Linked DNA regions of Saccharomyces cerevisiae S288C. The protein of the gene in region 2 binds, or shares a complex with, the protein of the main gene of each other region. Each region holds a gene or a part of one and is shown on either strand. Other genes may lie near its edges. The genes, in order: ASI1 and ASI3.

The links.
Region 1: ASI3 (region 2) and ASI1 share a complex: the UniProt entries of both Saccharomyces cerevisiae proteins name them as parts of the asi complex.

What each region holds. Positions count from the first base shown.
Region 1 is NC_001145.3:503,327-507,998, reverse strand, and holds ASI1 (putative ubiquitin-protein ligase ASI1), read right to left. Parts: upstream 2,667-4,672; coding exon 792-2,666; downstream 1-791. Other genes in the region: bifunctional phosphoribosylaminoimidazolecarboxamide formyltransferase/IMP cyclohydrolase ADE17, read left to right, coding at 1-497. UniProt on the Saccharomyces cerevisiae protein: E3 ubiquitin-protein ligase which transfers ubiquitin to substrates promoting their degradation.
Region 2 is NC_001146.8:615,402-620,172, forward strand, and holds ASI3 (putative ubiquitin-protein ligase ASI3), read right to left. Parts: upstream 2,841-4,771; coding exon 810-2,840; downstream 1-809. Other genes in the region: isocitrate dehydrogenase (NADP(+)) IDP3, read left to right, coding at 1-682; type II HSP40 co-chaperone SIS1, read right to left, coding at 3,106-4,164; TOR complex subunit LST8, read left to right, coding at 4,666-4,771. UniProt on the Saccharomyces cerevisiae protein: Part of the nuclear inner membrane (INM)-specific branch of the ER-associated degradation (ERAD) pathway, required for the elimination of misfolded proteins in the INM, a specialized ER subdomain. Required for ERG11 degradation.

The DNA.
Region 1 (4,672 bases), on a different chromosome or scaffold from region 2:
AATCTAATTCCGTATGTTATGCTAGAAATGGTATGGTTGTCGGATTGGGTGCAGGTCAACAATCTAGAATCCATTGTACAAGATTAGCTGGTGATAAGGCTGATAATTGGTGGTTCAGACAACACCCTAGAGTTTTGGAGATTAAATGGGCTAAAGGCGTCAAGAGACCAGAAAAATCTAATGCTATCGATTTATTCGTAACCGGCCAAATTCCAACAGAAGAACCAGAATTGTCTGAATACCAATCGAAGTTCGAGGAGATTCCAAAACCATTTACTCCAGAAGAAAGAAAGGAATGGTTGAGTAAATTAACCAACGTTTCTTTGTCATCGGATGCATTTTTCCCATTCCCAGACAATGTTTACAGAGCAGTTAAATCCGGTGTCAAATACATTGCCGCTCCATCTGGTTCTGTCATGGACAAGGTTGTATTTTCAGCTGCCGATTCATTCGATTTGGTTTACGTAGAGAACCCAATCCGTTTGTTCCACCATTAGATGGCATGAGTTCAGAGTCAATATGCCATAAATACAGAAATGACGGCAAATCGATGTATAGTTTATTCTTTCCTCCTCTAATGATATAATCGCCACTGACACTTTTATATATATACTAATGATACGATATGTTATAAGTACAATTTTAATTCGAACATTTCCCAAAGAAAAAAAACTTGATTTATTATTATGATGTTTATATGTGCAACACAGAAAGCTCTAGCTATAGTAATTAATGCTAGAGCTCCCAAACGAAAAACCTCTTTTAGATACCATGCAAAAGTTCTTAAACTATTATTTACTATCTGAAACAGGATGAACCTTACAGTACCCATGAACTTTACTCCTACAACATACGCAAGTGCTGAACCCACGTAAACCCAAAGAAATTCTGCAATCCTCGCAAATGGCAAAACATCGGCAGGGCCATAATACTGTATTTCTTTCATTGACTTTGCATACCGCGCAAGATAGATCAAAATCACTTTCTGTACCAAAAGTCTCATCTACTTCACTTAACTTTGTATCTAAGATAGACGCCCTTGTCAAAGTTTTATCTGACAGTAATTTTTGTTGAAGGATACGGCTAGTTGACATGATCCAATTATAATCAGTATGAACTTCATTATCTTCGGAAGAAAATAAATCCAGTAGGGCATCCCGAGTTTCGTTGAAAATCAGTGAATCTTCTTCCAAGTTTTCTTCATCAGAATCCCCCAGTGACTCAACTTCAGAAGGCTCGTAATCTTCAGAATACTCATCATCTGATGTGTTCAATAGTTCAAGTTCAATATCTTCTTTGTGGCCGGCACTATTATTGAGAGAGTTCGTTTTAGTTATCTTTAACATTTTTGATGGGTCGTTGTCGGGGATGTCCTCGTCCTTGTTATCTCTGAAGCCAAAGAATACTTGGCCTACAAGCTTCTTCATGATCCATATTATAGATTTTGGAAACATTAAAAAAAATCTTTGCTTTAATATTGATGAATTTTTCTTTGGGAAGCTGATGGAAGTGTTCTCTTTATACGGTTTAGAAAGTTCATTTAAATAACCGCTAATAAAAAATTTCTCATTAACATTATCCGGGATGTTAATAGCAGGAAATTCTCTTCGTATACCCTTTTCCATTAGTTCAGTTCCTGAGCATAATAATAGTGCGAATTTAGTGGCCATAGCAGAAAAATCTTCTTCTCCCGTGTAATTTAAGTATTTTTTCCAATTTCTACTGAGAGGGTAAAACTGTAAAAGTTCGCAAGAATTACGTGATTTTCCAAATGGATCCCATCTAATTAAGCATGATAATTTAAAAATCAGTAATGATAAGCAAATAATAGACACTGAAAACAGTTTTGGAAAGTGCCTAAATTTCACCGAAAATGGAAGGCTTTTCCAGCCGCCCTGCTTAACTCTTATCCCTAAGTAACAAATATGACAGAGGTTCATAATAGTACTAAAAAGTAGACGATAATTTCTAAGCCTGAAAATCTCCACCAAATGGATCAATATCCTGCTCAAAATAGCCATAGAACAGTCTATAATGTAATCAGGAGAATCTAAAAATTTAGTATTATTATTAGTCATTGTATAAAACTGAATCGAAAGTTCAAACAATGAATAGTCAGTGCCCTCCAAAGGGCTGGAATTCCGCATGATGGTAAATATGGTTTCGACACAATAAGAGTAAGCGAAAGCGTAGAATATATTCAGTAAAAATTTTTCTTGGGCAAAAGCAGGGTCGCCTAATATTTTGAAATCCTTACCCAAGGTCAGCGGACCTAAGGATACCATTGCTAATACAACTACTGCTGATACATGGAAAACATTACTCAACCATAACGGTAAAGTACGTCTGGAACCGTTGTTAAGGACGGCGTAAAATACAACGAACCGGTTCAGGACAATGGCGATTACAAAGCAAAATATGGCGTACGGGCTGAAAAAAAACCCTATTGTATCAAAAACAGACCTTAGAGTTGGGGGAATTTCTTCAGATTTAACGGTTTGCTCGTACTGCAAGTTCACAGCCCCAATAAAGGATAATCCAAGTCTATAAGGAAAGTTGATAACATTTGCGAAAGTGGAGTTACCTGAGATTACGGCTTGTGATGTTTGATTCAAATAGCTAAATGAATTTATGAACACATTTTCTGAAGAAGTGGAAGAGTTCATATTCTTAGCATAGTTTCTTTGTAAAAAGAAGAAAAAAACCCAGATAAAATTAAGAAAAATACCCCAAAGTGCAAATTGTCTATAAAATATAAAAGTAAGCAGTGATTATCTTCTTGAGTTAAAATTGTTGTGTGGTGAAAGAGTAATTTTAGTACTTCCTTCTATTTTTCTGTTCAAAACAATATAGTTTTCGTAATTGTGTTTTATTGTATTTTCCAATGTTTTTCATATTGCTTACTCAACTGACTTCAAAGTTTGATTCGTAGCTTCTCAATATTTCAACATAAAGGGGCGCCCTCAAAGGAATACGCGAGAAAAAAATAATGGTTGCTAAGAGATTCGAACTCTTGCATCTTACGATACCTGAGTATTCCCACAGTTAACTGCGGTCAAGATATTTCTTGAATCAGGCGCCTTAGACCGCTCGGCCAAACAACCACTTATCTGTTGAAAAGGTGTGACTATAGCAACTATAAGTTGTTATGAGTTGAATAGAATTTAAACTCATTATGGGATAAGCTGCTCGTCTATGCATTGGTAAAAGCACCTCGTTAATATGTAAAGGTCAAAAGGTCATATCAGCGAATAATAAATTTGGATCTTCCTATACTATATAAGAGAGGTTCACTGAACGCAGTCCGATCGGTTTATTATTTGAGATATAGGTGAATTTTGAGATAATTGTTGGGATTCCATTGTTGATAAAAGATTATAATATTAGGTAAACAGAATATACTAAAAGTTCTCCACGAGGACATAGGAATCCTCAAAATGGAATGTATATTTTTACATACTAATATTACGATTATCCCTCTTTCTATTTTATATGTTTCATTATCCTATCATATTATCAATCTTTGCATTTCAGCTTCTTCTAACTTTGATGACAGCTTCTCATAATTTATATCATCATCTAACACCGTCTATGATAATATATTGATAATATAACTACTAGTTGATAGACGGTAGTGGATTTTTATTCCAACATTATTAATCGTGACTAATATAACAAGTTCTCTGGTGGTTACCATATATTTAATGTAAAGACTCGCATGACACATATATATGACTACCACATAAATGTTTAATTTGAAAAAACTTCAGCTCTACTAAGGTACCTGTTGAAAATATCGAAATCCACAAGGACAATAATTTTGCTTGGTAATATTATTATTTTTCTTCCATTGTTTATGTTGATAATTAGAGGTTAAAAATTAGTATTAATGAAGAAGTGAGTACTGATCTTCTTATACTAAATAAGAGAGGTATATAAAACACACGCCGATTGGTCATATTAATTATGACCAATATAATAGTGATTCCGGTAGTTACTATACATTGATGTGACGACTCATATTCCTCATATATGTACCTACCATAACATGTTCAACTAATAGGTCTTTAACACAGCTTCAGTATTGTCTGAGCTTCTCGTTTAACATTCCTTCTGCAATAGGCGCAATCACACTTAAACGTATACGAGTTGTACATTAATATACGATGTAAGCATTAGATTGTTACCATAGCAACTCATGTCACTATTAATTACTCTCGTTCCAACAGTTTATTATATTATCAACCCTGTTTTTCATCTTCCATGGAATTTGGTAACTGCTCCTCACCGATTTATGTCATCTTGCTATTATATGGTAATATACCAAATGTGAAGGTATGCAATTGATATTTTTAGATTTTACCTTTTGGCAAAAAATCAGCACATTAGCAATAAGAAACCGTTTTATCGTTTTGTTCATTTTAATGACTTCACGGAAATTACTAGTTATTAATAGTATTTTACTCGTGAAAGATAATAATCCTTCCAATGATGATTACACTCAAGATACCCTTAAGATTTTTTGGCGTCCATAGAAAACTTCACTATTTATAGAAAATCCTGAGTGCTTCTTTCTTTGTTTATATACTCTGTCATCCACTATTCTACGTGAATATTGTGCGAATATTTTGATAATTGTGAACTCCATTGTTGATCAAAGGCTATAATGTTG
Region 2 (4,771 bases):
GGCATCCTTCGAATTAGCTCTCAAAAGAAAACTACCGTTATTCTTTACAACCAAAAACACTATTCTGAAAAATTATGATAATCAGTTCAAACAAATTTTCGATAATTTGTTCGATAAAGAATATAAGGAAAAGTTTCAGGCTTTAAAAATAACGTACGAGCATCGTTTGATTGATGATATGGTAGCACAGATGCTAAAATCAAAGGGCGGGTTTATAATCGCCATGAAGAATTATGATGGCGATGTCCAGTCTGACATTGTGGCACAAGGATTTGGGTCTCTTGGTTTAATGACGTCCATATTGATTACACCTGATGGTAAAACGTTTGAAAGCGAGGCTGCCCATGGTACGGTGACCAGACATTTTAGAAAACATCAAAGAGGCGAAGAAACATCAACAAATTCAATAGCCTCAATATTTGCCTGGACAAGGGCAATTATACAAAGAGGAAAATTAGACAATACAGATGATGTTATAAAATTTGGAAACTTACTAGAAAAGGCTACTTTGGACACAGTTCAAGTGGGCGGAAAAATGACCAAGGATTTAGCATTGATGCTTGGAAAGACTAATAGATCATCATATGTAACCACAGAAGAGTTTATTGATGAAGTTGCCAAGAGGCTTCAAAACATGATGCTCAGCTCCAATGAAGACAAGAAAGGTATGTGCAAACTATAAACCAATCCGCCATTCATTTGAAAAGACAAGTCTGGCCTAGGGTTATAGTGTTCAGACTTGAGGTTGAACATATCCAAAAAAAAAAATTCCTATGATGTCTTAAATACGTATACCTAATAAAATAATTCTAGACTATATTCAACTTACTGTAACCCTTCACCTCACTATCACAGCTGACGCATGTAGCAAATCCTTTATAACCCAGAGATATCCTACAATCATCGCATAATGCAAGGCATCTACAGGGCCAAGTTACAATATTTCTTTTATTAACTTTGCAGATTAGGCAGGAGAGATCCATTTCCTCCACTTCGTCGCAACTATCAAAGGCAAAATCAAACTTGAACTCTAATTTGTCATCGTCCTTCATATTTAAACGTTTGTACATATACCTGGAGTTTGTATGATGCAGAAGGCGTTCAATAACAACATCGACTAGTACACCTTGTGGGTTTCTTTTACCATATTGTGATCTAGTCAACGGTCCATTAACCTTATTATGGACATCCATTTCATAATTTAAAATAGACCACATGGAGATGTTCCAGGCTATTTCCTCTAAATCATCAGAATCGACAGCATTACTTGATAAATGTGTTAATTCTTTTTCTTCATCAATAATCAACTGACTTTCCATATCACTATCAAACTCTTCATCTGAAACACTTTCATCGATTTTTCTGGGGGGAAAGTAGTCTTTTGATGAATCGTCTTCAGGAAGCAATAACTCCAGGCTTCTGAGATCACTCTCAATATTAAGCTCTTTGACGTCCGGTTTATATAAAAACTTTTTATAGTTTTTTTCTGTAACATATTTGTTTAAATCCCTCTTTTTACGCTTTCCCACTCTCGGTTTCTTATCTATACTGCTCTCAAAATTTTTACTCCACAGAAGATTTTTTAGGAGTCTAGAATACGTCAAAATAATGGTTCTTACTAATTCAAAAAGGCCTAAATATGTCCTCGCAAAACCTGGTAACTGGGAATCGGTAGTCATTTCCTTACGAGATAACAGATCCTCTGGTGTCGACTGGAGTTGGTTTAAATGTCCACTAACCACATAACTATTACTGAAAGCAGCGACTTCATCAACGGATTTTACGTTGTCTGATTTCTTAAATATTTTATAGTCATTCGACGTTAAAAGTAGACACAATGAAAGAGCTATTTCGTTAAACTCCTCTTCTCCATTGTAATTATTTGATCTCCACCATTTTTCCAAGTTTTTATATCTTGAATATAATGATCGGAACGGATTACTGGTGAACAAAGCCTTCAGGAAAATGCCTATAGACGCCAGTAATATGGTGGAAATATAGAAAAAGCCAGGGAAATAATTGTGAATGAGACAGATGTTAATAAAATCTAATCCGTTCAAATAGGTCCTAGTGACGAATGCGGTAAAAAAACCCGCGTTTAATATAACTTCTCCACATAATCTATAGGCTCTTATATGAAACAATTCTACCAAATGAATTACTAATCTGTGAAAAACCGCTCCTAGTAGTTCAACATTATCGCCAATATGCTGCTGCCCCGCGGGCATTTTGGATATGATATAAAGATTCAATGATAAACCCCATATGGAAAAATCAGAGCATATTAATGAAGGAACGTTCGTCGTTGAAGAAATAAAAATTTCAATGCAGTCAGACAGAGCTACAAATAAATAGACACTTAAAGCATAAAAATCTGTATCACTCACGTGCAGTTCATGCATGAGTCCAAATTGACTCAGAATTTGTAAAAGTGCTTTAACCAGTGAAAGAGTGGCTACTAAATGGAGCAAAGTTTTTGACCAAAGAGGTAAACGAATGTTTGTAGAATTTGATCTCAATGAAGACATTACAGTCAACCTATTCAAAATAATGGCGGTACTAAAACATAGAACAGCATACTTACTTACCGAATAGGAGAAAAACATTCTAATTCCTACCTTAGCTAGTTGCAAAGTGGTGAAGTTACCTTTCTCCATCAATGCTTGAAAAGAGTCCAAAGTTGGGGCTGAAACTATTGTAGAATTTGGACTTACAAAAACTTCCGGTTTCTGAGTTGTGTTATCTAGGTAATTAAGATTTCCAGTCTTGTTGTGAAAAAAGCTAAATACATCTCTGTTATGGAGCAATTGCTTAACATGTTGCAATATATTTGTAGACATCAGTCAAACTTTTGAAAATCCCTACGTAATGACTGTTCCTGACAAATTGTAGCCTCTCGGTGACCTTCTGTCAAGTCAACCATTCCTTACATACATCATTTATATGCCAGAGGGCAGGGTAATGCAGACATACAAAAACTTTAATTTACCGCGCACCGCACCGCGCAATTTAAGATTATTGAGTCAAAATTAATGATGTATATTATATGATTTCTGTGGTGATAAATTTATTTGAGTTTATAATTATATTTGCTTAGGATTACTATTAAAAATTTTCATCTATAGCACGTTTTTGAGCGTCGTTTAGTGATATTGGATAGTCCACTTTATATTTTACAATCAAATTACCTCTCTGAGATGGGTTCTTTGGAGTTGGCATACCTTGACCAGGATAAGTAGAAGTTTGTGAGGGTTGGACAGGCTGTACTCTCGACAAAGGTAAGGTTCTGCCATCAATTGTTTGGATAGTTTTTGAAAAACCTAACAATGATTCCTTGAAAGATAGTGGCAGAGTGTAAATTAGGTCATCACCGTCTCTTTTAAAGTTTGGATGGCTCTTTTCCTGGATGACAAACTGCAAAGTCTTTCTACGGCCCGTTTGAGGATTGTAATCACCCTGGTTCTTGTATGTTATTTTGGTACCAGCTTTCCAACCCGGTTTTAATTGAATGTCAATTTGTGTCTTTTCAGAGGCCCCATGTGGGCCCTTTCTTCCAATTTTAAATGACTTCTTTTTACCAACAAACAAATCTTCTAGACTAACTGGTAAATTAACTTGAACTGTTTCTTCCTCTGGATACGTGGGAGAGCTTGATGCTGATCTAAAGCCGCCAGGCATACCTCCCATGCCGCCATGCATTCCTCCCATTCCTCCAGGCATACCTCCCATACCAGCACCGCCGCCAGATGGATAACTAGAGAAACTGAAGCCACTGTCATCAGCACCACCGAATGGGGAACTGCCGCCAAAGAATTGTGAAAAAATATTGAAAGCATCCTCATTACTGAACGCATGTCCTCCGGAGAATCCGCCCGCACCGCCAGGGAAGCCTCCAGCACCTCCAGCACCGCCAGGACCACCAGGACCAAAGCTTGGACCACCAGATCTAGCAGCCTCGAGACCGTATTGATCATATATTTCCCTTTTTTGAGGATCATTTAAAATTTCAAAGGCCTCTGATATCTCCTTAAACTTTTCTGTGTCACCTGTTGGCTTATCTGGATGATATTTTAGAGCTGCTTTTCTATAACCCTTTTTCAGTTCTTGCTCATTAGCACTTGGAGATACTCCAAGTAAATCATAAAGTTTTGTCTCCTTGACCATTATTAGTTCTGTATACTATACTCTATTATATTGATGTGAATGTATTAAAAAAAAAATCTTAAAATGCAAACAACTTATCCTTTATCCTCTGAAGAGTTTCTGGATGGTTATACAATTCTAAGTCGTTAAAAGAATTCGTGTAAGAGCTTAAATAATATTAATTAGAATTTTTGACAAGAAAGCGCATAAGTTTAAAAAGGGATTAACAATACGGTAAAGGGACGAGAAATCTATACAATATATATTAAATCTCGAACTACCTTGGCAAGGAGTTTGTGCTGACAGTGGTTGAAAAACCCGTAAAAGGATATCCCATTCTTTTTCCAGAAGTTTCTGGAACGTTCATATAAACCAAAGAGGGTAACACAATACGTTAAGATTCAGAAAAGTAACGACTAGCTATTACTGATCATGTTATAGAAGAGTGCGACAACCATATATTATTAGCGCAGCGATCAACGTGGCAGTCTTGTCATCCATATAAAAAAGGAGTTCTGATTGATGTCTGTTATCTTAGTATCTGCTGGCTATGACCACACAATAAGATTTTGGGAGGCTCTTACTGGGGTTTGTTCAAGAACAATTCAGCATTCCGACTCACAGGTTA